Regions from separate parts of the Mus musculus genome. Here all the other regions are reported to be linked to region 7. Evidence: microRNA targets listed by miRTarBase, many of them from high-throughput screens and not tested one by one. Region 7 holds a microRNA gene; each other region holds the end of a gene's coding sequence.

The links. Region 7 holds the annotated microRNA mmu-miR-223-3p (UGUCAGUUUGUCAAAUACCCCA, at 2,128-2,149, shown strand). A microRNA usually pairs through its seed, bases 2 to 8, with sites in the 3' UTR of a target mRNA and lowers its output. Matches are read on the target gene's strand: a 7mer-m8 pairs with bases 2 to 8, a 7mer-A1 pairs with bases 2 to 7 and ends in A, and an 8mer does both.
Region 1: the mRNA of Nrep is a reported target of mmu-miR-223-3p. The part of its 3' UTR that is shown has no 7-base or 8-base seed match.
Region 2: miRTarBase lists Paqr4 as a target of mmu-miR-223-3p. The part of its 3' UTR that is shown has no 7-base or 8-base seed match.
Region 3: miRTarBase lists Syn3 as a target of mmu-miR-223-3p. Seed matches in the 3' UTR shown: 7mer-A1 at 3,545-3,551 and 7mer-A1 at 3,595-3,601.
Region 4: miRTarBase lists Mapk10 as a target of mmu-miR-223-3p. Seed matches in the 3' UTR shown: 7mer-A1 at 2,948-2,954.
Region 5: miRTarBase lists Rgs2 as a target of mmu-miR-223-3p. Seed matches in the 3' UTR shown: 7mer-m8 at 3,544-3,550.
Region 6: miRTarBase lists Gpr158 as a target of mmu-miR-223-3p. Seed matches in the 3' UTR shown: 7mer-A1 at 2,983-2,989.

Annotation. Positions count from the first base shown.
Region 1 is chr18:33,435,165-33,439,467 of GRCm38, forward strand. It overlaps Nrep (neuronal regeneration related protein), which reads right to left. Exons shown (of 4, transcript NM_053078.4): 4 at 1,855-3,675. The coding sequence ends at 3,550. Among named protein-coding and RNA genes, the nearest start is that of Nrep, 26 kb to the right of the region's middle.
Region 2 is chr17:23,734,118-23,738,420 of GRCm38, forward strand. Paqr4 (progestin and adipoQ receptor family member IV) reads right to left here. Exons shown (of 3, transcript NM_023824.3): 2 at 4,023-4,244; 3 at 2,069-3,882. The coding sequence ends at 3,449. Pkmyt1 (protein kinase, membrane associated tyrosine/threonine 1) reads left to right here. Exons shown (of 8, transcript NM_023058.3): 3 at 1-199; 4 at 849-955; 5 at 1,083-1,255; 6 at 1,446-1,603; 7 at 2,207-2,284; 8 at 2,378-2,612. The coding sequence ends at 2,489. Among named protein-coding and RNA genes, the nearest start is that of Paqr4, 4.1 kb to the right of the region's middle.
Region 3 is chr10:86,052,006-86,056,308 of GRCm38, reverse strand. Syn3 (synapsin III) reads left to right here. Exons shown (of 14, transcript NM_013722.3): 14 at 645-4,303. The coding sequence ends at 777. Among named protein-coding and RNA genes, the nearest start is that of Gm51812, 15 kb to the left of the region's middle.
Region 4 is chr5:102,909,268-102,913,570 of GRCm38, reverse strand. It overlaps Mapk10 (mitogen-activated protein kinase 10), which reads left to right. Exons shown (of 14, transcript NM_001081567.2): 14 at 244-4,303. The coding sequence ends at 386. Among named protein-coding and RNA genes, the nearest start is that of Gm30396, 280 kb to the right of the region's middle.
Region 5 is chr1:143,998,047-144,002,349 of GRCm38, forward strand. Rgs2 (regulator of G-protein signaling 2) reads right to left here. Exons shown (of 5, transcript NM_009061.4): 4 at 4,070-4,236; 5 at 1,292-3,828. The coding sequence ends at 3,634. Gm41964 (a long non-coding RNA gene) reads left to right here. Exons shown (of 4, transcript XR_878589.2): 4 at 1-625. Among named protein-coding and RNA genes, the nearest start is that of Rgs2, 4.0 kb to the right of the region's middle.
Region 6 is chr2:21,827,349-21,831,348 of GRCm38, forward strand. Gpr158 (G protein-coupled receptor 158) reads left to right here. Exons shown (of 11, transcript NM_001004761.1): 11 at 1-3,196. The coding sequence ends at 345. Among named protein-coding and RNA genes, the nearest start is that of Gm39766, 13 kb to the left of the region's middle.
Region 7 is chrX:96,240,757-96,245,059 of GRCm38, forward strand. It overlaps Mir223 (microRNA 223), which reads left to right and starts at 2,061; the gene lies at 2,061-2,170. It overlaps F630028O10Rik (RIKEN cDNA F630028O10 gene), which reads left to right. Exons shown (of 3, transcript NR_030718.1): 3 at 282-2,886.

The DNA.
Region 1 (4,303 bases), not on the chromosome of region 7:
CTGACCCATAGAACCTGTGGGATAAGAAAAAATATGTTTTCAATATGTAAAACGTGGTTTCAATCTCTTTAGGAGCAATTGATAATTAAGATGGATGGAAATAAAATAACAGAGAAATGCCACCGATTGTCCCATCTCATGATCTTTTCATAATTTAGCAAGTCTTAATTTAGTAAGGCAATAAAACAGAGTGTATCCCCCATACCCATTATGCCCCTCCAAGCAGAGTGTATCCCCCATATCCGTGATGCCCCTCCAAGCAGAGTGTATCCCCCATAGCTGTTACAATCCTCCAAGCAGAGTGTATCCCCCATAGCTGTTACACTCCTCCAAGCAGAGTGTATCCCCCATAGCTGTTACACTCCTCCAAGCAGAGTGTATCCCCCATACCCGTGATGCTCCTCCAAGCAGTGTGTATCTCCCATATCTGTAATGCCCCTCCAAGTAGAGTGTATCCCCCATAGCTGCAATGTCTCTCCAAGCAAAGGGAGGTTGTTGAGTGAGGAAAATTAGGATTCCTCATAAGTAAAAAGATAATCAAATAATAGGAGACCTTCCCATGTATTCAGAGGCATTAATCTCTGGGTGTGTATACAGGTGCCAGTATCTCACCTGGAATGTGCATTAATTTTGAATTAAACTCAACATCCTCCCAATTTATAAGATACCTCTTGACATGCACAATTAGGAATGAGGATCTTCCAGAAAGCAAGAAAGCATCTTCTGTCCCCCATATTGAGGAGGACACACTCCCAGAGTGTGGCTGGTAAGCTTCTCTGTTCTACCCCACCCCTAACTCACTCTCTCTCTCTCTCTCTCTCTCTCTCTCTCTCTCTCTCTGGCTTTTATTTCAGAATTATGTTCTTTACCCTCTGGTGAGGTGTCTCAGTGTTTATACTCCACCAGCTGATTTTGAAACTCTTGCATAAGTCAAGGTGACGTTTCAGTCCCACGATGGCTGAATGAGGAATGCAGCAGGAGTTTCTCAACAGTCAAGACGTCAGTCAAACATTCAATGCCGAGGCCGCAGCTGGAGAGCCATGCCCACGCCCTTGGCTGTTGGCTGAGAACCTCAGATCCTCTAGTCATAGGTCTCTGTTCAGAACTGAGATGTACTCACACACCTGCCCTTCCTAAAGAATATATCAAAGAGGGTTTGACCATAAAATTCAGTTATAGAGTAGCTCGCCTTGCATGTGTCAATCATAGATTCTATCTACAGCAGCGCATGGGTCTATCTACATGGAGCATGGGTCCCCAAATTCCAGTTTTCAGAGTCACTTGAGACTTCCAAAAGGCTTTGATGATGGCAATTCATCACCCACAGGGGTCTGGGTGACTGCATGCCTGCACACCAATGGCTTCAACGCCTATCTCAGAATTGGATCCTCTTACAAATGTGAGTCTTTTGTCTGTGTGGAGGTGCCAACCTTTCCCAGAGTGGGTCTTGCTGGTAAGGGAGTGTGAGAACATGCATCTTGAGGTATGTGAGAATGTGCGTCTTGCGGTGTATGAGAACGTGCGTCTCGAGGTGTGTGGGAATGTGCGTCTCGAGGTGAGTGGGAACGTGCGTCTCGAGGTGAGTGGGAATGCCCTAAGGAGAAGTGGAGGATTTGCATTTACCTCTCCTTTGTGACCAGGGCAATGCTGTTAACACCATCTTAATGAGCCCCTACCTCTCCCTTAATCTCTTAAAGCCCTCAAGAGAGAAAATTTTCAAAAGGCAAATCTGCTTCACCCTTCTGACACTTGGCCTGTCTGACCTGAGGGATCCTGGGAACACAAAACGTGGTATGAATCGACAGAGGTGTTAAAAAAGACCGACCGACCCTACAATAATGAGCCAAAGCACAGTTACCTTATAGCTTGCATATTTATTGAACAAATCCTACTAAAATAGCTAAAATACATTGGGTACTTATGAGAGGACCACGTTACAAAAGCCTGCATTTTCGGCAGCGCACACTGCAATTCTACATAATGCCACAAATGCACAATACCGTTTCCTTGCTTTATTTACATAGCTGATATACCTACCCTAACAGAGGTGGGGGTAGCGAGAATGCACAAGAAACTCAAGCCAGAGGGGAAGCGAGAGAAAGAGTGAAGAGGGACAGTGCATGCATCATTGGTGTTTAACAGTCAGAAGCGCAAACAGTTCAGAACAAGGCCTGCCCTGTCAAAGGAAGAGCCAAAGACGTTATATAAAAATTAAGGTGGGCTTTCAGTCTGGCTAACACAACAACATTCTGTGAGGAGATGGCATTGTCAGATTTTATTTTTGTTTATCCATTTCATTGGGAGCAAGGACAAAAATGTAAAATCTACACCTTGCTTATCAAAACCACCCCAAAAAGGTATTTTGCCTTTCACCACCATCACCATCATCACCACCACCACCAACAACAACAACAACATCGTCATCACTATCATAGTCATCACCTTCATCATCACTATTTTGTAAAGACATTTTTCCAATTTCAACTTTGGGAAAGGGATAATTTTCAAATTCCTACTCAAATGCCAGCACTTTGGATTTTTTTTCCCACATGGCACTTATTAAAAGAGTGGACTTTTATCCCCCCTCCCCCAATATCTAGTCAAACAAAAAGAATCCAAAGAGATAACCTCAGAACGCCTGGAAAAAAATTATTGCTTTTCTTTTTCTAAGTCAGGCAGGTGAGGCTGCAGAAAGGAAGAGATCTGGTAGGTCAATTACAGTTTTGTGATTGCTCCCGCTACCGTGACTGCACATCCACCAGGGCCAGTCACGAGAGGACAGCCTCTCACACTCTTGGTAGCATCCACTCAACCTACAACCCTGAAGAAGAAAGCCACACTCAAGACACAAGGGAAACAAGTCAGTCCAGTCTAGAGAAGAACATTCCAGGAAACAAAGTACCGACACCTTCTTAGAACATGGAAATAAAAACAACTCCACCAGAGCTACCTCGCCAAGGAGCATGTTGAAAGTCCAAAATAGCACCATTCATCAGTGTCTCAGGCCCTGTGGCAGCGTCTCAGTCACTTACCACAAGGAAACAATGAGTTTCAAACTACTTCTATACATCAAAAGAGTACATGGGTAAAATATAGATATACAGACAATTGATGAACATAAACTACTAGGCTTGTTACATCTAAATGAAGAAAAAAAAAAACCGTGGGGGGGACTCTCAGCCTCTGCAAGAAGCAGTCGGGAGCTGTCTGATGAAAGGCAGGAGTGGACCAGTCATCTGAGCGCAGTAGGAGTTTTGAGTTGTGGAAGACATTGTTGTAGCGAACCAGGCCTGAAGGCCCACCTGTAGGGGTTGTAAACGTGGATTCACAGTGTGAAATTCTGAGCGTTTTCACTTGAGTCAGAATGATTAAAAACTGGTTTGATGAAACCTATTTGTCCACTGTAAATTCTCTAAAGCCAGGCTTAGAGTCCCATAGTTTCTTCTTATAGTTGATGATTTACACAGAAAAAAAAAAAATCCCATATATGATACCAAGACCTCATCAAAACCCCATACACCATATGCAATACAAATGGAGGTGGGACGATTAAAAAGGGTGGAGGTAACTGGTAGCTGGAGAGGTGAATTCACGGCTGCCTGGCGGAGTCAGCGAGGCAGCGCCAGTCTCCTCCATCTTCTTTCGGTTCACTTCCTTAGGCACGGGAAGTCTTCCCTGCAGGAGAAGACAGACAAACAGACACACACACAAACATATACTTAGTCACACTTTTAAAACCATCTTTAACGGTTTTTGCTTCTCTACCGCTTTCTTGTCCTGGAACTTTTTCTATTGTGCAAACAGTTTATATATTAACAGTATTCTCCTGAACGTAAAGACTTATTTTATGTGTATGAGTGTCTGCCTGCATGCCCATGTGTGTACAACATGTGGGCCTGGTGTTCATGGAGCACAGAAGAGGGCATTGGATCCCTGGATCCAGATGGCTGTGAACCACCATGTGAGTGCTAGGAGCTGAACCCAGGTCCTCTGCAAGAATAGACAGTGTTCTTAACCTTAACCACTGAGCCATCTCTCTAAACCCATATAAGTATGTGTGTGTATGTATTTTTAATTTCAATGGGTGATGTGATGGAGGGTTGACAGTATATTTTCTATTACACAATAAGAATACTTTAAAATATAGCACAATACTTAAATCTTTTCAATGTAAGCCTTACTCTAAAAGCAATTAGCACACTTCATCCAAGTGCTGACAGTCAGGACTAAAACGGTACCCAAGATGGAAGTGTTTGAGAGATACACGGTATAAAAGGATCTCAGATAGCAGCTACAGGAAAGA
Region 2 (4,303 bases), not on the chromosome of region 7:
ATAGTCAAGGCCTAGTTCACCTTGATGTCAAGCCTGCCAACATCTTCTTGGGCCCCCGGGGCCGCTGCAAGCTGGGCGACTTTGGACTACTGGTGGAGCTGGGTTCAGCCGGTGCTGGCGAGGCCCAGGAGGGAGATCCTCGCTACATGGCCCCAGAACTGCTGCAGGGCTCTTATGGGACAGCAGCAGATGTGTTCAGGTGAGGCCTGGGTGAGGACTGTAAGAGCCCTTTGTTGGTGGCTGATCAGCAGACAGAAAGGGACTGCCTGATAGAGGAGCTCCTTCCTGGCACAGGGTAGGAGGGCAATCCAGCCTGGGAGGTGCTGTCACTCCCTGCTAGCTGAAAGGTTTCCAGAGTAAGCAGCAAGCCTGCCAGAGGCCCTTTATACTGTAGGCTAGCCGTCTCCTTGCAGCTTCATGGCTGTGCTCCAGGACAGGGAGAGTAATGAGGTGGAGGGACTTGTTAAGTCCACAGTTAACATCTGGGACTACAGCCAGACCCAGGGTTTTGAGACCATACTGGCTACTACTACCCTGCCTCAGTGTATTCTGTTCATCTCTACAGAATGATGATGCCAACCCTAGTAACCATGGAACCATTTGCATGTCAGTGTGGTTCTGATGGGCTAGCTGCTTGAGTGTGGAGTCCATACTTCAAGGTGTCCATCTTGACTGGTGCTCACTGGCCCTCCAGGGCTCTCCTCAAAGCTCCTTACCCCTTTCTCACTAACTTTATGGTTTATGGTAGAAGAGAACGGCCCTTTCCCACCAGAATGCTGGATAGGATTGGGATGTGTGTCACAAAGCTGACTCTGCCTCTTTTTGTCTTCGCGTCCTGTCCTTCCTAGTCTGGGTCTCACCATCTTGGAAGTGGCCTGTAACATGGAACTGCCCCATGGTGGGGAGGGCTGGCAGCAGCTGCGCCAGGGATACTTGCCCCCTGAGTTCACTGCTGGTGAGTGGTTCAGAAGAAGAGCCAACTATCACCAGCTTCTGGCAAGGGGTGGTGAGTAGTAGGGGGCACCATTGGACTAAGGGCCCAGTCAGTACCCTGCCCCGACATGGCCCTGCCTCATCGGCAGGTCTGTCTTCTGAGCTGCGTTCTGTCCTCGCCATGATGCTGGAGCCTGACCCCCAGCTTCGAGCCACAGCTGAGGCCCTGTTGGCCTTACCCATGCTGAGGCAGCCACGTCCCTGGAATGTTCTGTGGTATATGGCTGCGGAAGCCCTAAGTCGAGGCTGGGCCCTGTGGCAGGTAAGCCTTTATGGTGCTGGGCTACCCTACCCGTTCCTTGCCCAGGTGACCTTCCTGGCCTCCTGAGGCTCACTTCTGAACTTACTGTATAGATTACTGTTGTCCTTGAACTCATCATATTCCTACCTCAGCCTCCCAAGTGCTGTGATTCATCACAAGGCTTGGTTTCTGAGGCTCATTCTTTCTTTAGGCCCTGGTCACTCTGCTCTGCTGGCTCTGGCACGGGCTGGTGCATCCTGCCAGTTGGCTGCAGCCTCCAGGCCCACCGGCCACACCACCTGGCTCTCCACCTTGCAGCCCCCTCCTGGACAGCACCCTCTCCAGCAGCTGGGATAATGACAGCATAGGGTGGGTGGTGTGTGTGTACATCATTGTGGTCAATGCGAGGGGTCTCGGGGCCCCTGTCACACTCAGGGGACAAAGACTGCCAGTGTAGAGGTAGATGGTGGTCTGTGTAGGCAGCTGTGACATTCAGTGCACAACTGCAGTCCCCACCTCTGTAGAGGCTGTCCCTGTTCAGAGATAAAGTGCTGTCTTCCACTGAGTGGACACCTCCCAGCACCTGGTAAGTCCCTGTCCTGAGAGGATTCCCTTGCTCCCAGGTGTCTGCTAGCCAAGGGAAAGAGTGTATAATTAAGAAACGGCTGCAAGGAGGAACCTTATGCTCTCAGGATGCCTCCCATTATAGAAATATCCCCTCACTCTGACGGCTCGTTCTAAATGCTAGAGAAGCTTCATTTACCAAAACTCCACACCCAGCTCAGTTGGACCTGAAAAGGGACAGAGTTAACCCATGAATGTGGTCAGGCGGGAGAACTTGTCAGCTGCCAGTGTTTATTTCAAGTGTGCCTTGTCCCTTCACCAAGCAGAGGCCTGAAACAAGGAGGAGCAGGGCTGTTTATATCCTACTTTGCCCAACCGTCACCACCCTGCTTGTCCTCTTTCTTGTAGTCCCTCACTCTCCCCAGAGACCGTCCTGTCCCGGATCACTAGAAGAACCTCTACCCCTCGGGGCAGGTACATACCTAGGTGAGCAAGCCCGGGGTCTAGGCTTGGGCACGGTTTTCTTTAGGATCCAGTGTCTTATTCTTTTTTTCTTCTTCTTCTTCTTCCTCCCCCAAGGGATGCCCTGGACCTAACTGATGTGGACTCAGAGCCTCCAAGAGGTCCCTGCCCCACCTTTGAGCCAAGGAACCTCCTCAGCCTGTTTGAGGACTCCCTAGACCCAGCCTGAGCACAGGCCCAGCCAGCCTTGGTGCTTTTAAACCTCTGACCGTCTTGCCCACCTCTCCCCTGAAACTTCCGTGTCTAATAAAAAGTAATGCGTCTTGGGAACACCCAAGGTTGCTCATGTGGCAGCATAGCTCTTCTTGTCCCTTTATTGATGTTGCCTAGGGTCTTGGGCCTTTGGGATGATCTGGCTGCGAGTCAGTACCCTTGGGCCAGCAGGCTGGAGCCACCCACTGTATAGAGATTTCCTGAGCAGACAAGTCTCTGGTAGGCAGGTCAGTCAGACCATGGCACTGAAGAGCTGAGTCCTTGGTCCAGTGAAGCCCGAATCCAACACCTCCATTCCACAGCTGTGCCTGTTGCCTAGGAAAAGCAGCAGTTCCCCTCCTGTCTCCTGGCCAGATGATACAAGCAGGACCAATGTCCACTTGGCTCTGAGAGAAGCCTGGTCCCACTCCTCTGCATCCTCACTGCAGGAATGACAGGAACAGCAAAATTCTGGCTGCTGAGAGGTTTGACATGCAGAGCAGGGAGATGGAGGTCAGGAAGCAGGGTCAGAGTGGCTAGCTCAAGAATCCAGGAGCAGGAGGTGTAGTTATGTATGGGAGCAGCAACATAGGGGTAGTGGTTCTGGGCTGGAGGCTTGGTAAGTTGGCAGGACTCAACTGTCAGAGACTCTCACAGGTTAAACAGGGTAAATTGGGAAAAAAAAAAATGGTTTCCTTCTAATGACAGCAAAACAATGCCCAGGAGGGAAGATGGCAAGGAAAGTGGAAGCTGGGGTTTGAAGGCCTGGATGCAAGAAGTGAATCCATGGGGAAGAATGAAGAATGGTCTCCCAGCTAGGAAGTCCCATGTGCTGGTTCTTCCAGGGAACCAGCCCCTTGCAGACCAGTAGGAGGAAAGGTGGTGGAATTTGTCCAGGAAGCTGTGGGCAAGCCAGTTTGGCAGCTAGGAGGCAGCTCAGTCTGGGGGACAGGCATGGTGTGCAGCCCAGAGCAGGTCAGGCACAACCCCAGCATGGAGCTGGAGGATGGAGCCCACACTCAGCAAGTGCATGATCTGGTGGGAGTTGCCCCAGTAGTCGAAGCGACCAGGCCCCCACCGCTCTGGCAGGCGTGCCACATTCACCAGCCCTCCAAGCAGAGCCAGTGCGTCCATGCGCAGGTAGCAGGGCAGAGAGCCTGGAGCCCCTGAGCCCAGCCCCACTCCACGGGCCCCAAACACCAGCAGGCGGGCCCCAGCTTGCCAACCAAAGGCTCGAAGCCGGGCACTGGTGGAGGGGGCAGTGAGAGCTCTCCAGCCGGCTACACCTGACAGTGCAGTGTAACCCATCAGGGCAGCTGGGCGAAGCCACGGTCTGCAGGCCAGAGTGCAGTGGATGATGGGCAGGGCTCCTGCAGAGAGAGGGAGGGAGAGAGGTGGGGGGAGAGGAGAGGAGAGGAGAGAAAGGGTTTAAGTCCAAATTAGCTGATCTTCCCAACCCACAGCTCCCACCAGTGGCCCCTGCCGCCACCTCTCTGGGGCCCTGGCTCACCAAGGGTGTTGACAAGGCAGACTCCACACATATCCAAGGCAAGGAGCCGGGTGTACACAGGACTGCCTCCTTGGTGGCACATGAAGAGGTGATACAGCACAGAGGCTGCAGGGGGCACCAGGCAAGCCACACAGTGTGTACCTCCTAGCCAGCCATCCTTGCCCAGCTGACTCCAGGGCATGGTCATTGGCACCAACACCAGGAAGCCCAGCAGGGCTAGCCCTAGAAGGGAGGGAGAGTTATATATCAGACACAATCAGCATAAAAGGAGAATCATATCC
Region 3 (4,303 bases), not on the chromosome of region 7:
GAAAGAAACTTGACCAGGAACTTGACGTAGTAACTATGGAAGAATGCTATTTGCAAACGTGCTCCCTGACGCATGCTTAGCTAGCTTTCTCACACAGCCCAAAACCACCTGTCCAGTGAATGATGCTGCTTACAGAGGCTGGACCCTCCTGCATCTATCAACAAGCAAGGCACTTCTCCACAGACATGCTCAGGGACACCTCTGATCTGGACTGCCACGGACCCTCAACTGAGACAAGAGCTCTAGAACAGGAACTGCCTGACTTCTCAGCCAATTCTGGGAAATCTGAGGGGAAAACTGGAGTCTGGCCTATCCAACTGTGGCTGACATGCCCCACAAAACACAGAGCAACCTGGGATGGAGGGACGCTTATAAGCAGTGCATGCTCCCTGCTTCTTGCTAGAAGGCCTATCTAAGCCAAATACTTGTCCCTAGGAACCCCAATTTCTGTACCTAAGAAGGGCAATACTACGCACCTTGCAAGTTCTAGGCTAGCATCATGTTCACACTGCAATGCCTGATTTCTGGTCTCACCATCTTTTAATGACCCCGTGCTCAGCCAGCAGGCTTCAGGGCCAGCCCCAGACTCATTTCCTTGGGAGCTCCAGCCTTGACCATCCCAAACTTTTTGCTTTCTGTTTCAGCAAATCTCAGTCCCTGACTAACAGCCTCAGCACATCAGATACCTCCCATCGAGGGACCCCAAGTGAAGATGAGGCCAAGGCTGAGACAATCCGCAACCTGAGGAAGTCCTTCGCCAGTCTCTTCTCTGACTAGCCCCTATCCAGGCTGGAAGACAGGCAGGCAGGCAAGAAGACTCGATCACTGGAGCCTTTCTCTGGTTCCCTCCTTCTCAGCCTTGGTTCCCAACGGAAATATGCTTCCTAAAGATGCAGGAACTGATGATCTACAGCCATTCCCCCCTCCTTGACCATGACATTCCAATGCTGTCTGACTGAATGGTAGCCTTGGGAGCCCCTAGGTTCCTCAACACGGGCCCTCTAGACAGACAAGGCATCACTACATCCACCATATGCCTGCTCCCCTGTCGCCGGTACCAAGTGAGATGTCTGTGTGGCTTGTTTTTGCAGTCTTATTAGTATTTTGCTTGCCTTTGGGCAGAGGCCCTCTTCTAGGCCTTGACTCACCTTCATCAAATGCATACATTATAGTCGGACCTCAGCAACACAAGAGGCAATACTTTTTAATGGTGGTTTTGCAAACAGAAATAGGGAAGCCCAGCCTGGGAGCCCACTACTCACCTGAAGCTAACTAATGCCATCCCTGCTGGGGGTAGGCTGACAAAGGCCCCCATCACAGCTGGCCCTCATGGTGACCTTGATGTCAATAGAAAGAAGCTAGACCCTATGCAACAAGTGGGACCTTTCAGAACAGGACAGAGGAAAACCCACAGAGCCAACAGCAGGAATCCAGAGGAGAGAGCTTGTGTTCCCAGGGGAGAGGGACGCAGGAGGATTGTGCCTGTCTGACCTCACACAGAATCTGTTCTTTTTCATCCTTAAGGCTAGATGGGAACCCAGAGAAAGTGGATGGCTCCCTGTCACAGGATCAGAAGACACAGTGATGGCTCAGCATCCTACCTGCTCTGAAAGAGGAGTTAGTAGGTCACTCAGTTTATAGTGGGAGATCCTTTAAAAACAGGGTGTGTGGTTTCTTTAGGAGCTACTGAAGCCTTTTGGAATTTCTTCCAGAAAAAGTTCCACTCCAACCTTGTTGTCGGCGTAGCCACGATGACTACGATGGTTTGCTGCAGAGCTAGGCAAAGTGGTCCTGATTCCCTTTCCAGTGGTCTTTCCCCTGCACCAGATGGCCTCCCAGGACCACATCACCAAGCACCTGGTGCTAGGAACATTGTAGGTGCCAGAAGCCGCCTCCTGGTCCCCAGACAGACCCAGAACATCAGAACAGAGCCATGTTCCTCTCTATACAGCCCCTGTGGCCTCCCGAGGCGTGCCCTCGCTGCACTGTCTGAGGCAGGGGAGTTATTAACTGAAGAAGCGTCTGGTTATGCTTGAGTTCTGCACATTGCTTGGTGATCATCTGAGGCCTCCTTGGGTCTCCAGGAGCATAGAGGCCATCACTATGATTTCTGGGGACTTTGTTTTCTTGAAACAATCTCACTCAGCAACTCAGGCTGGCATAGAATATATTATGTAGCCCACACAAGTCTCAAACTCAGCGATTCTCCTGCTTTATCAGCCTCCCAAGTGCTGAGATTACATTTATGAACCACCACGCCCAGCAAGCAATCCATCACTTTTGGGTCCTCCCAGCCCAGACATGAGTGGCAGAAACAAAGGGTAAAGACCCTGTCCTGCCTTGGACCACTTAGACCCCTGCATTTCTGCAGAATGCACCTTCCAGCTGGTTTCCAGCAGGGATCAGCTCAGTATAAAAAGTGGTAGCTTTGCCACTGGCTGCTAGAGATCCGGTTAGCCCTCAAGGTCATCCTCTCTCTCCTTACCTCTTCCCTCTCCCTCTTGATCAAGTCAGTGTTGAGAGCAAGCGTACTGGAGTTATTTCAGAAGCCCTCCTTGGCCTCCCTTTCCATATCCTTGGTTTGGAGTGATAAGTTGCAGCTGTGATGTAGGATCATGTAGGTCCCGTGACTGCTGAGGCCATCATTTGGAGCTGCACATACAGGACTTAGGCCCAATTGAAATTGACCAGAATCAACAGTAAATAGGCTGTGGTGTTAAGGTGTAGAGGCCCTCCCAGTACCAAGAAAGCCCAGCCTGTTTTATTGCTAACCTCCAGGAATTCAGTGTGAGGAGGACAGTCCCCGAGCATGGCCACACCCAGCCTGCCCACATCTCCCTCATTTTACTCAACTGCTCTTCTATCGCAGGATGAGGCTGCAAAAGCTTCCAGAATGCTTTTGGAGGCTAATGGGGATGACCCAGCACGTGGTGAGACACATGGCACAACTGCCAGTGCAATCTCCTAGACACATCTGCTCCCTGGTAAGGGAGGAAGTCTGGAGGCCAGCACCCCCCAAGCCATACTTTAGGTAGGTCAACCAAAGGAGAAAGAAGATCAGTCTGTGAGTCCACAGAACACTGCTTCTTCCTCCTGCCCCTCCCTCCCTCCTCTGCGCTTAGCTCTTGCACCTTTCTCTAGAGCCTCTGAAGAATGCGAGGGGAGACAGAAGGAAGGAGTGTGGTGTGGGAAGTAAGATTTGAAGTATCAAAAGAGAGTCTGTGAAGTGAGCTCCACAGAAGAGGATGTGGATGCTAATGCCTGGGTAATGACCTGAATGAGCACATTAGGACGTAACAGCCTAAAGCCCCATTACCTCATCTCGGACGGTAACTCTTGCTAGTTCCTGATATTTGCTTCAGTGACAGTCTGCTTCCCCACCAGATCCTGAGAAGCCAGGCCTTGCTCATGGGGCATGTGTGGAGGAAAATCAGAACACCAGCGGCACAGAAGCTCCTGACAATGACAGCTGAAGTTGCTCCTGAAGCGTACTCCCGTGCACACACACACACACACACACACACACACACACACACACACACACACTGACAGACACAGAGATAAAAACAGAGACAGGCAGGCCAGCAGGCAGACACTGACAGACAGGCAGGCAGGCAGGCAGACAGATGGACGGACGGACAGGTAGACAGGAGAACTTTGCATTCTGAACAAGGGTGAGAGGCACGCTTTGAGTGACTTAAGAACACAGGGAACATCGGTGGCAGCCATCACTCTACAGCACTCTCAGCCTTGTCTAAATGATAGAACAGCTCCTGACACACAGTGGAGTAAAAACCAACAGCAGGAAGTTTCTCAAAATGTAGGCCATGGCCCTGGACATAACTACTTATAAAGGCCCAGAAAACTTTGCTTCAGAGCACAGCACATTGAACTTGTAGTTAGAGAGCTCAAAGCCTGCAGCTGGATCAGCCCGCTGAGACTGGGCTGCATTCTGAAGCCGGGTGGGGAGCAATATATGTCAATCACCAGCCTTGCTAAGGACCCGTTCCTTTGACAGGCAGAACCAGTGGCTCCATAAATGACCATGTGGCCAAAATACTCTCATAGTCTGCCCTTTAAAATATCTCAGCAATCGATGACATCCCTCCAGGATCTCAACTACAGTAACACAAATGTCTTTCAAAATCTAAACCAGGCCAGGCATCCTGATTTTTATAACCATGCAAGTATGTCTACATCCATGATGCAACACTAGACTGTGGCCAGCACTTTTATCTAATTTCCAACTGGCCTGGGAATGAAAACAGAAGCCAAGACTATAGATACATGTCCGTCCAGTGGA
Region 4 (4,303 bases), not on the chromosome of region 7:
CAGTGAGTGATTTCTAATCCAGAGCGAAATTGATAACCATTAACCTGTGAATAGATGTGACATGCGATGGGGTTTCTGAATTGTGTCTCCTTGAGTTCCACCATCAAGTTCAGTTCAATGAAGGTCTGCCAAAGAGATAGAAGAGACATTTCTTCTTGTTATACCCATCCCCACACTGAACATCCTGAGCACATGGGTCTGGTTCCAGATTTAGTCATGTTGGTCTTCATTTTCTTAGCACAGGTGCAGCAGTGAACAGCAGTGAGAGTCTCCCTCCATCCTCGTCTGTCAACGACATCTCCTCCATGTCCACCGACCAGACCCTCGCATCTGACACTGACAGCAGCCTGGAGGCCTCGGCGGGACCGTTGGGTTGTTGCAGGTGACTAGCCGCCTGCCTGCGAAACCCAGCGTTCTTCAGGAGATGACGCGATAGAACACAGCACACATGCACACACACAGCTTGCTCTCACACACACTCAGCTTGCTCACACACACACACACACATACACACAAACACACACTGTCTCTCTCTCACACACACACACTGTCACAACGCACTCACGAAAGGTCAAGAAAAAAATAACAATAGAGAGATCCAACATAAAATTAAGTTAAATTTTTCTGCGTGCTTCTCCAAAGTTCTGTATCACAGCTGAGCTGAAATGTATACTTAACTTCTAGTTGCGCTCGCTTTGGTTTCCCTCCAGCAGTGCTTACTACACAAGACAAATCAGACACAATTAGAGAAACCTTTCCCTAAAGTGTAACTTAAGTGGCTGCAGAACCAGCAACCTGTAACTGCCCTTCAAATGGCATGAGGAGGTGGGCACGGGTCCCGCCCAGCATGTGTGTGTCTCTATCTCGCGTCTACCTGCTCTTCCGGCCTAGTCAGATGGATGTAGATACAGATCCCGCATGTGTCTGTATTCAAACAGCACTTAGAGATGCTCCTGTCAGTGTCCTCCAGGCTCCACCAAGACACACACCGGGGTACCACATGGTCCATTTCATGTGATCTATTACTCTGACATAAATCCATCTGTAATATATTGCCAGTATATAAGCTGTTTAGTTTGTTAATTGATTAAGCTGTATGTCTTATAAGAGACTATGTAAAGGGGGAAAATGGAGGCGTGAACTCTCAGACCCTTGAAGATGTAGCTTCCGAATTTGAACCGATTAAATGGCACCTGTATACCAATTTGTAGAAAGAACATATGTGATGCTTAAATCCAGGGTGGGGGGAGGGAGGGAGCAATAGCTTTCAGGTTCTAAATAGGGTTGTCCTTTAGATGGAAGATGTGAGTCAAAGCCAAGGGCGCTCTCTCTGGAAGTCAGTGAGTAGCAGGGACCAGAGCGTATTGCTGCAGTATAGACTGAACGGAAGGAAACCACTGCCCAGGGGCCGGGGGATGGCGCATCTGTGTTCTAAACATTGGACACTATTGTTTATTTTTAAAATTACGGTCAAAAGAGCAAGTTGCTGAAGGAAGGGACAGGCGTCAAGACAGGATCATTGTGCACAAATCCCGGGTGGTAAAAGCCCTTTCCCGAGACACAGTGGAGAGACCTTCATGTGACTGACTTTAGAGAAGATTGATGGAGATTATAGGGCATGTTTCCCATGTGTGAGCTGCTTCCCAGAGTCCTCCCCTGCTGATATTTTATTCCCTCTTCTGGAATTGGATAACATAATTAAAATAAAATCCCCAAAGCACACAGAGAGATCTTCAGGATAGCATCTCCAAGCATCTTCATGGGCTGTGTTTTCCCTCAGAGGGATTTCCCAGGCCCCTTGGTATGACTGGTGTTTCATACTTATTGATGTATTTTCATAGATGTGTGTAATCTGAGAAGGGCTGATAACCTGACTTTTGTACTGCAGTAGATACACGAGAGCAATAACGCCGTGCCAACGTAGCTCCTACTAGCTAGCATTAGCAGCGACTTTGTCCTAAAGCCATGAAACGTTTGTGTGTTTAGTGAAATCATCTGAATTTAGCTCAAATCCCCGAGAGATCCTATCTGAGCACTCAGAGAGGCACTGTGAAACATCGTGGTTATATACAAGGCAATGCCTGTGTGGCTTCTGAGCAATAACAGGCCAGGCCTGGCTTCCCTTCTTCCTCCCTTGGGTGAAGCATCCACTACAGTTATTTGCACTCTGGCCACTTTGGTGCTCACCCCTGTGGTGATATTTCACCTGAGGAAAAGTGGAACGTGTGAGCAGATGAAGGTAATGGGCCTGGCAGATGGGAAAGCCTTGACTACAGAGGAAACAGCAATGCCGGGGCTCTGCAAACTGCCTTAAACCCAACAGCGTGGAAGATCTTCTCTCTTCAAGCAATAGTCAGTCAGAAGCCTCAGACCCATCCCCAACTCCTGCCACCACCACATCCCTCCATTCCCAACAAATACACACACACACACACACACACACACACACTACATACAGACAACACACTGCTGTGTGGCCATTCCTGGGATTGCTTCCCACAGCACGGTTCATTGCAAGACGTGATATTGAAAAGGGAGAGAAGAGAAGTGGTGGGCGGGAGCTAGCTAGCTACCTTCAGATCTTAGAGGGTGCAGCTCATTCCCCTGGATAAAGATATCCGTCTGTAGCTGGATCTTTTGGTTAATGTTGTGGACAAAGTGATCTTTATAAACACTGATTCATTTTCATGATCTCTCTCCCTTTCCCATCTACCTTCGTTCTTTTTTTTTTTCTATTTCTTAACTTACCTGTATTCTCTTCTTTTTCTGTAGTTTGCTTTTATGAGTGTGATCTCTGCACTCCCTCACCCTATATCACACCAGATTAATGCCCAGACAACTGCTTGATAGAAACAAGTTTCAAGGGGGAATTCCATAATAATCAAGATGGTGACAGACAGGCAGGGCTCTCAGCGGAATGGCGGATGTGCTTAACAGTCAGGATCCTACTGACAAGTGCTGACCATTTCTACTGGGTAGATGAAAGCAGGCAAATCAGATTACCTCGTCTTCCCCTCCTTCAGGTTAGCCTGGGTACCAGTAGCACGTCTCCTAGTGGCCGGCACCCTTGGACAGAGATCCCCCATGGACAAGAAAATAGGAAGCAAATCTCTTGGGTTTTAAATAGCACATTGAGGGAAAGATGAACATTTAGCTCCTGGATCTCATGAAGGATTGGTTTTTAGCTAAGCCAGGGATGGATGGAGGAGAAACAACCCTGAGGGTCAATGTCAAAACATTCCCATTGAGACCCCCAATGCTCTGAGAATGTTCACAGTATACATTATGCCCTCTAGTGGGTCTTGCTAGGAAAAAAAAAAACCCAGTATTTATTTTATGTAATATCGGTTACACACAAGAGTGTTCTTGTTTTGGGGGCAGAGAACTGTTCTGAGACCTGGACTGTGTTTGTGGAAGATTCAAAGGAGCTTCATGTATTCATTTTGCAACAGAAGGTTGGCATAGTGAGGACTTACAAATCTGTCCCTTCAGTAGGCAACCTTGGTCCTTAATATGTTCCATGGTGTTCTGTAGAAAGGGAGAGGGTGTATTTTTTTGCTGGTTAGGGAGTGTTTGGTGGGTCAGTGTGATCATTTTTTCCAATGGGATACATTGACCTTATAGCCCAATTTTTTTCTTGTGCAATAAAGATGGAAACTAATACTTCATCTCTCAGAATCCATCATTAGAGCTTCATAGGTCTTTATCCCAGGGCTGGACTAGGATGTAGCCAAGTCTTAGCAGTTGGAGGAAACATGCTCACTTGATGGCTCAGTGGTAGCGTGGCTGGCTTCTCTCAGTCAGTTATCACTACCAGAACGAGTATCATATAAAGGCACCGATAACAGCTGACCAGTAGATGAGAGAGACTTGGTCATGGAGCATAGAACAAACTGAATGCATGAACAAGACATCATTCTGTGATCTGTTAGGGCAAAGACTAACTGGTCTCATTCTACAGCTCTTAAGTATTTACCACAGAGGCCAGGTTATACAAAATCTACTGCTGTTCCGTTTTCTTAGCAAATAAGAACGTACTGTGTTCTGTAAAGAATTTTGTTAATTAACTTTGCTGGGAAAGATAATGTTTATGATCCAGAGAGAGCAGAGAAGTCTTTGGGGGGTGTGGATTTTGATCCCAGCTTCTTTGGGTCTGAAGAGCAATCCTCTCACCACTCCAACACTCCTGCCCTCATGGATACGTGCACATGTTAACTTCAAGAGTCCACTGTCTTCCACGTGTAGCCTTAGAAATGGCACTAACTAAACAAACTAAAAATGGAGAATGTAAACAACCAAATCA
Region 5 (4,303 bases), not on the chromosome of region 7:
TGAAGACTCATTGGGCTGACATTGGCAAAAAGGACTAGGTACGTCAAAAAGCATCTCAACCAGACCTGTTAAAGTTTGCCTTTTGGTGATGATAATGCTCTCTGTAGCTCAGGCTAATCCCTCAGATGCAGTTTCAGACTAGGGAAACAGTGTTTGGCATAGGGCAGGCTTCTCATCTCCACATTCTCTGATGACCGTCCTCCTGACAGAAGCTCCCAGCCTCTGCCTTTTCTTACTCTCCAGATCCAAACAATGGAATACTACAATCAGACAGCACAAAAGTACCACACAAGTTTTTCCTACTACATTTTGGGTTATTTCACTGAAAGTTATTTGTTGTCCCACTGTGCTCACATGACAATAAAAACAACTTTTGCTATATTTATTTTATGGTGATTGTGTGAAATGACTATATTTTGAAAAATCTTTGGCATTAAAATACATTCACAATGAAGAATTATCAAAATGAATGGACTGTCTGTCCAGAGTGTTTGAACTGTGGGAAACTGGAACAGTAAGTTATACTTATTTGTGGAGGTATGTGGTTTCTAATCTGAAATCTGTTTCAGTTTGTTCCACACGAGAGGCCATGGAAAATACCATCTCAATAAAGCTTATGCTTTCAAAAGCACTGCAAGTTGAAACTTTTGATTTATTTATTATTTTTATTACTGGCTTTTTCTTTCTACCAAAGGTCAAATGGCATGGGGAATATGCCTAGTTAAAAATATTTATTGATTGATTGTCAAATGAAAAAGTTCTGAAAATATCTACAACCATTCCCATTCGAGACTGGAATTTTCAAATCTTGTACTTAAAAAAAAAAAAAAAAGCTAGGTATTGTGAAATATGCCTGCAGTCCCGTATACTTCAGAGCCTGGAGACAGGGGAATCACTCAAGTGTAGTAATTTAGGACTAGCTTGGGAATTATAATCTGATCTCTTCCTTAAACAAACAAAAAATAAACAAACAAAAATCCACCCAACAACAAACAAAAAAATCCCTAGTAAAATTTGTCTTTATCTTTCTGTGCATTGACAGATACTTCCTATCTCACTAATTCCGTACAGTTTCTTCCAACATCCATCCGTCCGTCCGTCCATTCATCTATTTATCCATCCATCTTGCTCAAGCTGTATAACAGATGCTGGAATCTGCAGAGAGGGGAGAGAGAGAGAGAGAGAGAGAGAGAGAGAGAGAGAGAGAGAGAGAGAGAGAGAGAGAGGCACAGGATCTTCACTTGTGCTTTTCATAATCTAACTGAAAAAGTTAAAATTATCAAACAATTATGAAAAATGAGAAATACCTTTATTAAGTATTAAATTACAGAACCCATTGCTGTGACAACATCTAAAACGAGATGTGGTCTAGGTAGGAGATCAGAGTCCACTTCCCTGGGGAAGTGGCAATTGCATTGATAGGTGTGTGGTGAGCAAGAGCTAAAATTACACTGCGGAGAGGAACCATTAGACAGAAAGATTCCCTGGGGCTGAGGGACATAGCATCTTCAAGCAAATGGAAGGCGGCCAGCAATGCTGGTGCAGGGGATTGTGTACCAGGTTGGAACGTAAGAGGAAGTCAGCCCTGTGGGGTTATGCTATATTAGGAATGCTGCTTTCATCTTAATGTTCAGGAGAGCCGTCAGCGGTTGGTAAGTGACAGGAGGCAAGATCAGGTTTGTGTGTTGAAAGCATCACTAGCGTTAAGAAGGAACTATATAAGGTGTAGGAGGTAGCAGAGAGTGGTGGGTTAACTGCAGGCATGGTGGCATCTTCTATCAGACTGGGGACTGAGGAAAAGCTGCACAGAGTGTGAGGTAAATGGAACTTAATGGCAAAGGAGATTTGTTAGGCAAAGCCTTTATGAATTAAGCGCTATAGAGACCTGGCATATTTGTCATATTTCCATCACAGTATCACTGTTTCAATGAATTCAGAACTCACTTATGCCAACGGTATTTATTTTATTCTGTACCTGTTATATGTCATTCTGGCTTCTGGTGATACAGAAATGAGCCAGGTTGTCCCTCCTGTACTTGTGCTTGTTCCAGACATCTGGTTAAAGGTGTGAATTAGGGTAGTCATAAAGACTATTTCTTTTGGCAAATAGATAAAAAGTTACCCATTTAGTATGTTCCAATTCTCAAGTCCCCATTATTGTGTATATTAGGGAGATGGGTAGAGAGGTATCCAGGGAGGGCCCAGGGACACAAAGCGATGGGATGTCATTGAGTTAAGGTCTTCCAATTTCAAGCTGAGGGTGCCCCCCATCTCCTCCCATTTACTAAAACTTCCAGATATAGAAAATTTGCTTCAGAAAGGGAATTCCTCCAAATTAGCCAGAATGAAGGCTTTTCTCAGCTAGAACATATTCCTGCATTTAGTGCAAGCAAAGCACTTGCTTTCTTCTTCAGTGTTACCCAGAGTAGCACAGATTATTAGCCAAATGAAGGCAGGAGGTGCAGGAAACTTGGGGTTTTCGTATTGCCCCATCACAGAAGAAAGAACTGACCAGGTTCTTGCCCATGCCAGGTGTCTGGAACCAAGCATACGCCAGGCAGGCCCACATTTACACGAACCTTTTCCTTTTCTTAGGCTGTTTGGCCCTGTAACTTTACTTACTAATATTTAGCTGGTCCTTAACACACAGGTCAATGCTCTTTTTTTCTTTTTCTTTTATTAAATAACACATTTGACTTTCACAATGAGTGGTTCTAGGAATGTGGTCTGATGTTTTTAAGACTACATAATGTCTATAGGTTTAAGGAGAACATCTTCCTCGAAGCAAGCATTTCCCACTTCTCAGCTGTTGATTTCTCAGTGGGCAGGTACAACAATTGATCCACACTGATACCTCTTTGCTAGAAAGTTCTTTTCTCTGATAGCTGACATATTTCCAGTTACTGAAATCAAACAACAGAACCACATCGGGACTTCCAAATGTTCAATGACATTATTTAGCAAAATAAATTTATTAAAAGTATTCAAAAACCACTTCAAAGTTTAGCTGCCCGCAAGACAGTTTTTGGCACTCGTAACAGACGCTGGTTCTACAGCACGGCACAGCATTCGGTCCATCACACACACCATTTAACAACTCAAACATACTTCTCAGTTTCAGTGATACGTGACACACTAGTACTAATGATCTGTAGTCCTAAGAACGTCAACACCCTTGCACACAGTAAACATTGTAATGTTACTTAGTACTAAAATATTAAAACTAGAACTAACACCACTATGTGGTAACATGGACTAGTTTAGGGAAGGTGTACAGCCAACTAGCTAAGGCCACATAATCCCAGACCTATTGATTTTAAATGCTCCAACAACATTGCATCGGATCTTTCATCTCAAACTCTGCTTTCCCGACAAGGAGGAAGAACACATTCAGAGGCCTGTTCCCTCCCTCTGTTCTTCACACAGTGAGGGAAGCCGTTCTCACACAGAGCCTCTCCTAGGTTGCTGACTTCCTGATTCACTACCCAACATTGAATCAATAGTTCTGAGCGATGTTTTCCTAACACTCAGGCTGAATTCAAGGTCAGTTTTTTTTTTTTTTCTGGCAGGTCACAGCCTTTGCTCTTGGGAGACAGAATGGAATGTCCTTTGTGTGTGGGGGGACTCCTGGTCTCATGTAGCATGGGGCTCCGTGGTGATCTGTGGCTTTTTACATAAGTCCTGGTAGAATTCGGACTCCAAGAACCGAGGATAAGAATTGTTCTCCATCAAACTGTACACCCTCTTCTGAGCTGTGGTGAAGCAGCCACTTGTAGCCTCTTGGATATTTTGGGCAATCAGAGATTTCGTTTGGAAGTCTATGTTTATCTGAAAGAACAAAACAAAAGTCCATTTATTGGCTAGTCAACACTGCAGATTGATGCTTAATAATAAAACATAAAGGTGTAACTTGTGATCAGTTATAACTGTCAACTTTGGAGAAACTTAAATGTTAGGACAGCTGGGATGAGAGGCGCACAGGGCTCTTCTCACTTGTGCTTGAATGTGGTGTATTCAAGTCTCAGGTTTCAACAGTGTTGAAGGTGATCTGAGGCGCCTGTCTTCTTACCTCTTTGGGAGCTTCCTTCTCTATGAAGTCGGTATAGATTTTCCTTGCTTTTGAGGACAGTTTTTGGGGTGATTTGGTTTTTTTGAAGTCTTCACAAGCCAACCAGAATTCAATGTTTTCTTCACAGAACTCGGACTTTAAAAACGCCCTGAATGCAGCCAGCCCATCTGGAAGCACAGGAAAAGCAGCATGAATGGAACGACCGAATTATACACAGTTCTTCTGCACAAAATG
Region 6 (4,000 bases), not on the chromosome of region 7:
CCAGTTCTCCCAGGGAGAGCCAGAGAGGAGAATGGAAGCCAGCTCTACACAACCAATATGTGTGCTGGGCAATATGAAGAACTGCCCCACAAAGTCGTAGCACCAAAAGTAGAGAATGAAAATCTCAACCAAATGGGAGACCAGGAGAAACAGACATCTTCCTCTGTGGATATCATTCCTGGCTCCTGTAACTCAAGTAATAACTCCCATCAGCCCTTAACATCACGAGCCGAAGTGTGTCCCTGGGAGTTCGAGCCCCTAGAACAACCAAATGCTGAAAGAAGCGTAACTTTACCTGCCTCCTCTGCTTTAAGTGCAAATAAGATACCAGGGCCTCAGAAATAGGAAGTCTGGGACACTTTCAAAGTGGACCACCCTGGGAAGAAAGGGGTAATCCCGAGTTTGATAAAAATAGATCTGAAAATCACAAGTTACCAAGGCATCTTTGTTAGCCTAGGGAAACATGGCACATAGTGCAGTAAGGTGAAGGCAAGGGCTGGAGAAGGCCAGAAAAAGGCAATTATGCATCATAAGAAGGAAGGCTGACTCTGCCATGAAAAGCCAGATCAACACTGGAGGACAGCTTAGCATTTCCGCCTGTTTAAGGGACATTGCCCTGTCTGTCTTTACACATGGGATTGAATGGTACCAAGCAAGATTCACCAGGAGGCATGGAAGACAGACGCATGGATTTTAAGATGGGAAAACTTAGATAAATGTGACTGTGATTCTAAGTAGCTGACTGAAAAGCCAACCTTCATTACCTATTTAACCTTGGTAGCACTGCTAACTTAATGCACCCTGATACCTTTTATATACACGATTGCTCTCATTTTCTTAAAATCTGTTCCAGTACATTGTTGTGTCTTGTATTCAAGCATTCCAGATTGTATAATTTTTGCAAATAACTTTGATATTATATGACACAACACATTTATGCAATCTGCAGCTACTCAATTGTCATTGCAACCTACCAAATACCTGCTATCATCTACCAAGTGTGGTTGAGTCTTGGAGTACAGTAAGCTTTCTCTGGCTTAGGAAGCCATAACAGTTAAGATGAAAACTTTTAGTTTGGGCTGTGGTTTATATAGTGAAGTTGGGTCTGACTCTTTTGTTTCCCACCATGGCTTGTTGTAATGTCTTAATTTTTAAATATAAGTTGAGTTGCTTATTCTACACTTCTTGTAGGGACTCTGAAGCTTTATTAATCTCGGAGATGAAGTGGTCCTGTTTAGTCATATGTCTCAGTAAGTTAAGGACAACTTATCCATTGTTTGTTCCAAGTCAGAGCTAAATCAACCCAATGACTCTTTCAGTATTTCACATTAGCATTTCCTAAGGAAGAAGCCGAATGAGGAAACTATGCTGTACATTGTTACCAACAGAAGAGGCCAACTCTAGGAGCGCCTTAACAACGAGTGCATACTGCAGGTCCAGGAAATTGCCTTTCATGACAAATACAGAAAGGTCGCTCCTAATAGCTCCAGGGATTATTTTTATAAAGAGAAAAATTAATGATAGCATCAAGATCATTGTATGGATATATTTTTATTATGCATACTGAAAATATATTTTAAATTACCTTAAACTATTTATTCTCATAAACTTTTATTCATTGCTTCATCTAGGTACAGAATTTGCTGGGCTCAAATCCCAAAGAGATTTTATAACTTGATTTACTCAAAGCCCATAGGTGGTACAGGCTCTTTACACTCCCCAGTACCAGAACTTACAAGTCCTTCAAACTGTCCTTGCAAGCCACCTAGCTCAAAATGCAAAGCCTAAGATTGGTGTGCATACATCAAAGCATATCTTCTAGAACTTGCTGCATTCCATGCTGATCTCTAGCATAAACATCCTGAGCTTCTGACTTAGCTCTAAGGATTGCAATGCCGAAATAAGACTCTAAAATCCAGGCACATTTCATTTAAAGATCTATCACTTAAAACTACAGCCCAGGCTTGATTTTCTCCCATCATAAATACTAAACAACTGCTTATGTGACGAAGACATTTCCATCCATAGGAACTGTTTTACCTTTGGTGAGCAACAAAAAGAATTTGCTAGGATGATGCAGGAGGGGAGAAGGAATCAGAAGGTGGATATAAGGCTGTGCTTATGCTTTGTGTCTATCATCAAACTTTGCTCAGTGTTTACTTTTGTATTCAGGAGAAAGCAAGCACTTGAGGAGTTGGCAGAGCTGGGCATACCCATTTGCTTGCTTCATTCATTACTCAGGTTGGTGGGCTAGGTTTGGAAATCTATAGAGATTTTATTGCTAACTGCTGCCTTCATTAATCCCTATCATCCCCACCCTTCCAATCAAAGCCTATCTACTTTGTGACTTTAGAATTCTATTTTGAGGAGCATTTGTGAACTTGGCTTAGAGTTTGTAGACTTGCGTACTTGTTTCACTTGTGTCTGAGAGCTGTTAGCACTAGATTTGCCTCAGAATTAAGCAGGCAACTGTCACTGACTTCACTGCACTTCAGGGTGACCCTGCTTGATGTGTGGCTCACAGAAGATTTGCCAAATTATACCATAGTGACAGTCTGCCCCTGCCCCCCATAGATTACTCTCCACCGCCACAAATCAGCACAAATAGCTAGGTTCTTTCCTAGAGCTTCATTTTCATAACTTATCACCAAAAGAAATTGAACTCTGTCATTCTGGAAGCTCTTTTCCCTGGCTGAGAACAATAGAAAGTGCATACAGTGTGAAGGTCTCACAAACATTTGCTAGGTTGTCCTTTCAATGCATGTGCAGGCTGCACCCTGTTGTTGTTTTAAGCCAGGGTTTATAAATAAGTAGATTTATATCTGTCTTAATAGAAGTGTATATTTTATGCAAGAATTAAATGCTTTACAACATAAATTATGACTTGACCTCTCGTAAACTTCGGTGGCAATACGGATTGAATCCCGACAGTTGTCTTGTATTTGCTTCCTAGGTTTCTGCATGCGAGTGGTGATAGGTAGGACTGACAACACACTGCCTTTGACTTCTAGCACTTAGCAGTCAAGAGTTGTAGAGTCAACAAAGCTGTAAGTCTCTTCACTTAACCTGTGGTTCTTCTAAAACTATTATCTAAATCTACAGCATCCCACCATGGAATACCTGGTAATTTATGTTGTGATGTGTTGCAGCATGTAAATAACTATAACTTCTCTGCAATAAAACATTTATATGAAAATGATTGGTGTGTTCATGTCTCAAAATTTGACCATATTTATGCAACTTATTCAAAGGAATTACATATAGCTTTATGACATTGGTTCCCTCTGTGTATGTGTGTGTGTCTTCTTGTTGCCTTCACAATGCTATCGCATTGTGTGTATGTGATGTTAGTGAGTTGTTTGTGTGTGTGTGCATCTTCTTGTTGCCTTCATAGTGCTGTTGCATTGTGTGTATGTGGTGTGATTGTGGTGTGTTTGTGTGTGTGTGTGTGTGTGTGTGTGTGTGTGTGTGTGTGTGGTGTTCATTCGGGTCCTAGTTTCTTTGTTCTAAATTTAAAATCTGTTGAAAGTTCTTCACTAAAATGTTTCGATAAAAATGTATTTCACCCCACATAAGCTGGTCAAGATGTTATGTATTTTATGACATTTTCCACCATGAATATTTGCAAAGACATTTGCAAAGAATATTGCTCCAATTTTGGGCTATTTTTCTTTTTAAACATTTGTTCATAGAAAAGTGGAGGGCTAAGTTCAGGAACACTGTATGTTCAAATTTACCGTTAACTGAGGAGAAGGCAGATAATGGAATGTTTAAGCAGGTTTCTAATTTCTGTCTCTTCTTTTGTGGTGTGAAAGCCATAAACTTACAGAAATAAAACTGTCTAATGAAATGAACGTGGAAAATAGGAGATAAATATAGGATAAAGGCTGTGCTACTGAGTACTCACAATCTAGAAAGAAAAGTAAATGGGGCATGAATAAAAGTCCATGGCAGTCATGTAGAAGATACCACTGTTTCAATTCAATCAACAACAGAAAAG
Region 7 (4,303 bases):
TCCTGCAACTGAGGCAGGTGACTCTCCTTATATTGAAAAAAATCTGGATATTAAGACATGGTCCTGAGTACTTCTTTATCACCAAATATATTTTCTGATATGTGGCTTATTCTGGACATTTATAGATTTTTGGTAAAATCTTATACCTCTTTTACCAAGCTTATGCCTTTCAATTTGCGTCATGAAGACTGACTATGTAGTCATCTATGTCTTCATTCTTATGGGTCTGACTAACTTTAATCAACTAAACTTGCTTCTCTTATATGTATTCCTCTGAATAGGTGTGAACTGGAACATCAAGAATGAAAATGAAATAGTCCCTTACCCAGCTTAAGGACTGACTTCTCCATCAATCCTGGAAAACAGTATTTATAATAATCTATTAAGTCAGTGCACTAGAACTCTTTAGCCCCTTTCATGGCTCTTTTCCAGTGTTCTTGGGTTATGTGAGGTCGGATAGGGCAATTGAGAGGCTATGGATATCTCTAAAGTGTCTAGCTCTCCTTACAGCAGATGATAAGCAGAGATGCTGTCAAGAAAACCAAAACCAATAACCCATTACTCCTTTCTCTTTTAATCACTTTCCTTGGCTTTTACTAGCTCCAGAGTTGGAAATAAGGTCTCTTTAAGCTCCCTTCTAAAAAGCTCTAGAAGTCTCATCCAACATTTTTCAAGACCTTGAGATGTAAGATTTCTGTCTCTATTTCTAGAGAAGACAATTGATGCCCAAGAAAACTTTAAACCTGGGTAGGACAAAATTTGATACTATCAAGCATTTTGAATAACAGGATCATGATGCTAAACAAAATATCAAATAAATTGAGATGGCTTGGCTCTTCTGGCAGCTGCCCTGGTAGCTATGAGTTCAAACATCTTAATACTTCCCTGCAAAATCCACTGCCTGTTTTGCTCTTTGTTGCTGTTGCTCTCCCTTTTGCAAGGGAATATAAAAAGCAGACAAGAAAAAGTGGTGGGGTGGACAGCCAAGGGACACAATGAGCTGATGGATGATATAATTCCCAAACTGTAAACAACTTGTTTTATGACCTTTTGGAAGTCTTTCCCTAAACATCAGACTTCATTTTCTCATTTATAATCTTGAATGGGTAAAACTAGATGACTTATAAGGGCATTTTAATATCATTAATTCTTTACTGCTTATGAGAAAAGGCAACCAAGTTAGACAAAGCCGGCTAAGGCCACAAGAAATTACTGTTTCAATTCTGTTAAATAAATTATCTATCTTTTCCCCTGTTAGTATCTATCTTATATGTTTAATTTTAAAGCACATTTTAGTCACTTTTATTTATGTACAGGGGATCAAATACAGAGTATTGTACAAGTTAGGTAAGTGTTCTGCTACTGAGTTTTATCTCTAGATCTTGATTGTTTACTTTTTTGTTTGAGAAAGGGTAGTATTATATAGCCCAAATTGACTTTAAATCTGAGGTTCTCCTATCTCTGTCTATGAAAGCTTGTATGCACACATGTACTATCATACCTGGCTATAGCCACAATTTTTGAGTATTTGTTAGGTAACAAACACTAAATTAATGGCTTTATATGCATTATTACATATTCTTGCCATGATTTCATGGGCATTTTTGTGGCTATGGAAGAAGTAGGTTTCAGGGACATAAACTCATTTATTTAAGGTGTTCAGCTAGTTAATGGTAGAGGTAGAATTCAAATCCAGTTTTAAAAATCAACATCTAGGTACATAACCAGGGTAAACAGAGCATACAAGAAGTTGATAGGAGGAAGGAACACATAAATTGTCCCCGAGGACAGAATGATGACAATTTTTTCCTGTTTCAGCTGAATAGAAGAGTTAATTGAGGCTTGGGCCACCAGAATCTCCAGACAAACACCCAGGATCCCCGTTTTTGTTTGGAGCATTAGCGTGTTTTGTTCACTTCCCTCTTTTGGTGTGTCTTAGTCAGTCATGTTAGTGTCTGCCATTTGTCTCACACTTAGGGTAAGATATAATCACCCTATTTTTTTCTCTTTCCAGTTGCACATCTTCCAGCATGTTCTTGCTGCCCAGTGGAGGTTCCTGATCTGGCCATCTGCAGTGTCACGCTCCGTGTATTTGACAAGCTGAGTTGGACACTCTGTGTGGTAGAGTGTCAGTTTGTCAAATACCCCAAGTGTGGCTCATGCCTATCAGCTCCAGGTCCAGGACAGAGCACATAGCCTGCTGCCTACATATGAATGCTTATGAAACATGAAGCTCTCTGGTGTTATTCTATGTCTTTAAGGGAACTATAACATTTATTCAGAGAACATCAGAGTAGGAACGATGCAGCTCTGGGGTCTACAAGTCTGGTATGCATCTGTGTACATTGTGAAAATGCCATGGACTGCATAGTGGTACATGAGGGATACAGGGAATGAGAGTATTATTTGATTTATTATTAATGTCTTCTTTCACTTTCCTCTTCTTGCAGCCAGAATAGCAGAATTTTCATACAAGCATCATGAATTCTATGAGAAAGTAGGAAATAAATATCCACTGTCTGGCCTTCGGAGCACATCTTAAGCTACCTACATTTTCTCTTTTCCACTTTGCTTTTATCATTCTTAAAAGAACCTTCTTGTTTATCTTCATTGGGCTTTCAGACACTACCAAATTCCAATTCCTCTTGGCACTATTGAAAGTTAACCTATACTTTTCTTTACTCCTTGGCTAACCACATACTGGTATGTGCTATTATATGTCCTACCATCCAACACATCTTCTAAAGTTGTCAGTGAATTTTTCCAGGGTATGTTCTTGAATTCCCTATTATATTGTAAGAATCTAGAGCTTATTATATTCAGTTGATTGCTGTCTCTCATACCATTGTCCAACATTTTAATTATTAATAAATATTTACCAATTAATTGATGTTTTACTAGTCAATAACCTTTTGCTATATAGGTCAAATACCAACCAGGGTTTTGCGAAAAAAATAAATCAAACTGTGGGTATTCTAATGCTATAGTGTATACAAGATGGTAACCAAAATGGATTTTTTTTTCCTCTGAGAAATAAGATTTAGGTCTGGGGCAGGAGGGCAAGAAGAAAGAATAGACTCAGAGGGAAAAATTTTTTGAATTATTGGTTTACACGTGTCTTTTTAAACAGAATTTTCTGAGCCTTTAATATTCTATCATTGCACTGGGGTGAACTTCTAATATAGAACTATAAAATGAAGCATCTCCAATCCCTCTCTCCAGAGTCTAACATTTCATAACATATATTTTGGCAAGCTTCTTTAGAGAAATTCCATACTCTCCCTTGGTTCTGGAGAAATTCCATACTCTCCCTTGGTTCTGGAGATACCTACTTTCATTCTTTAACTTTTCACCCACTAACCAGTGACCTAAATAACAAGACCCATATTGTTACCCCAATTTTGCTCAGAATTGTCGGAGGGATGCATCTCTATCTAGGGATGACTTACTGGCTTACCCTGCATGGAAAAATACCATTGTTTAGGGACAAAGACCATCTTCAGAAGATGTCTGCAGCAAAGTACACACACTGCTAAAAATCCACAGGTCTAACCTCCAGTCTTTGTTCTGCCATTGACTTGATGTATGTTACTTTTGACAAACCTTCATTTCTCTCTGGGCTTCACTTCCCAATTTGTGGTATGTGAATGTTCAGATAAGTAATCTGTAAACATTTTCACATGCAAGAATAGGAGACATTCCTGGTGGTTCCAGTGTTGGGGGTTCCCTGAATTTGTGGCTCACTTTACTAGGGCAATTTCAATAAACATTCTCTCTTCAAGCCCAGGGATTAATTCTAAAGAGCAGAATGAGATAAAGGGTGTTTTCAAGGCTTTCAGGGCTGGACTCACAGATGTTTCATGAAGGAAGCTGAGGTTTCTACTGGGTGGTACCCAGGTTGTGGAGGCTGGTAAGTGAGATGGAGAAGAAGAAGTCATCTCTGACACTAATTATGCATAGCTAGCATTTGTCAAAGAAGAAAATGCTGAGATTTTGGTCATAGACTTGGCAGCATCAGTGGGGGTAAAATAGGGCAGACTGTCAATCACTTTTGTGTACTATTTTGACTTTTGCAGTCATTTCAAAGTGGGAGTACCTCTTGTTGAAACCTGATCTGATCCTGTGCATATGCAGACTACATAGGCAACATGGTAGTTCCCATGAAAATTTAGGAAGTTGATTCGACATGAAATAAATGGGGGGAAAGGAAGCAATGCAAACGTGGCCCCAAACAATTTCTTTACAAGGGAGTTTCATTCCAAAGTACATAGAGTTCCTTCTTTCCTTTCCCCTACCCTCCTGT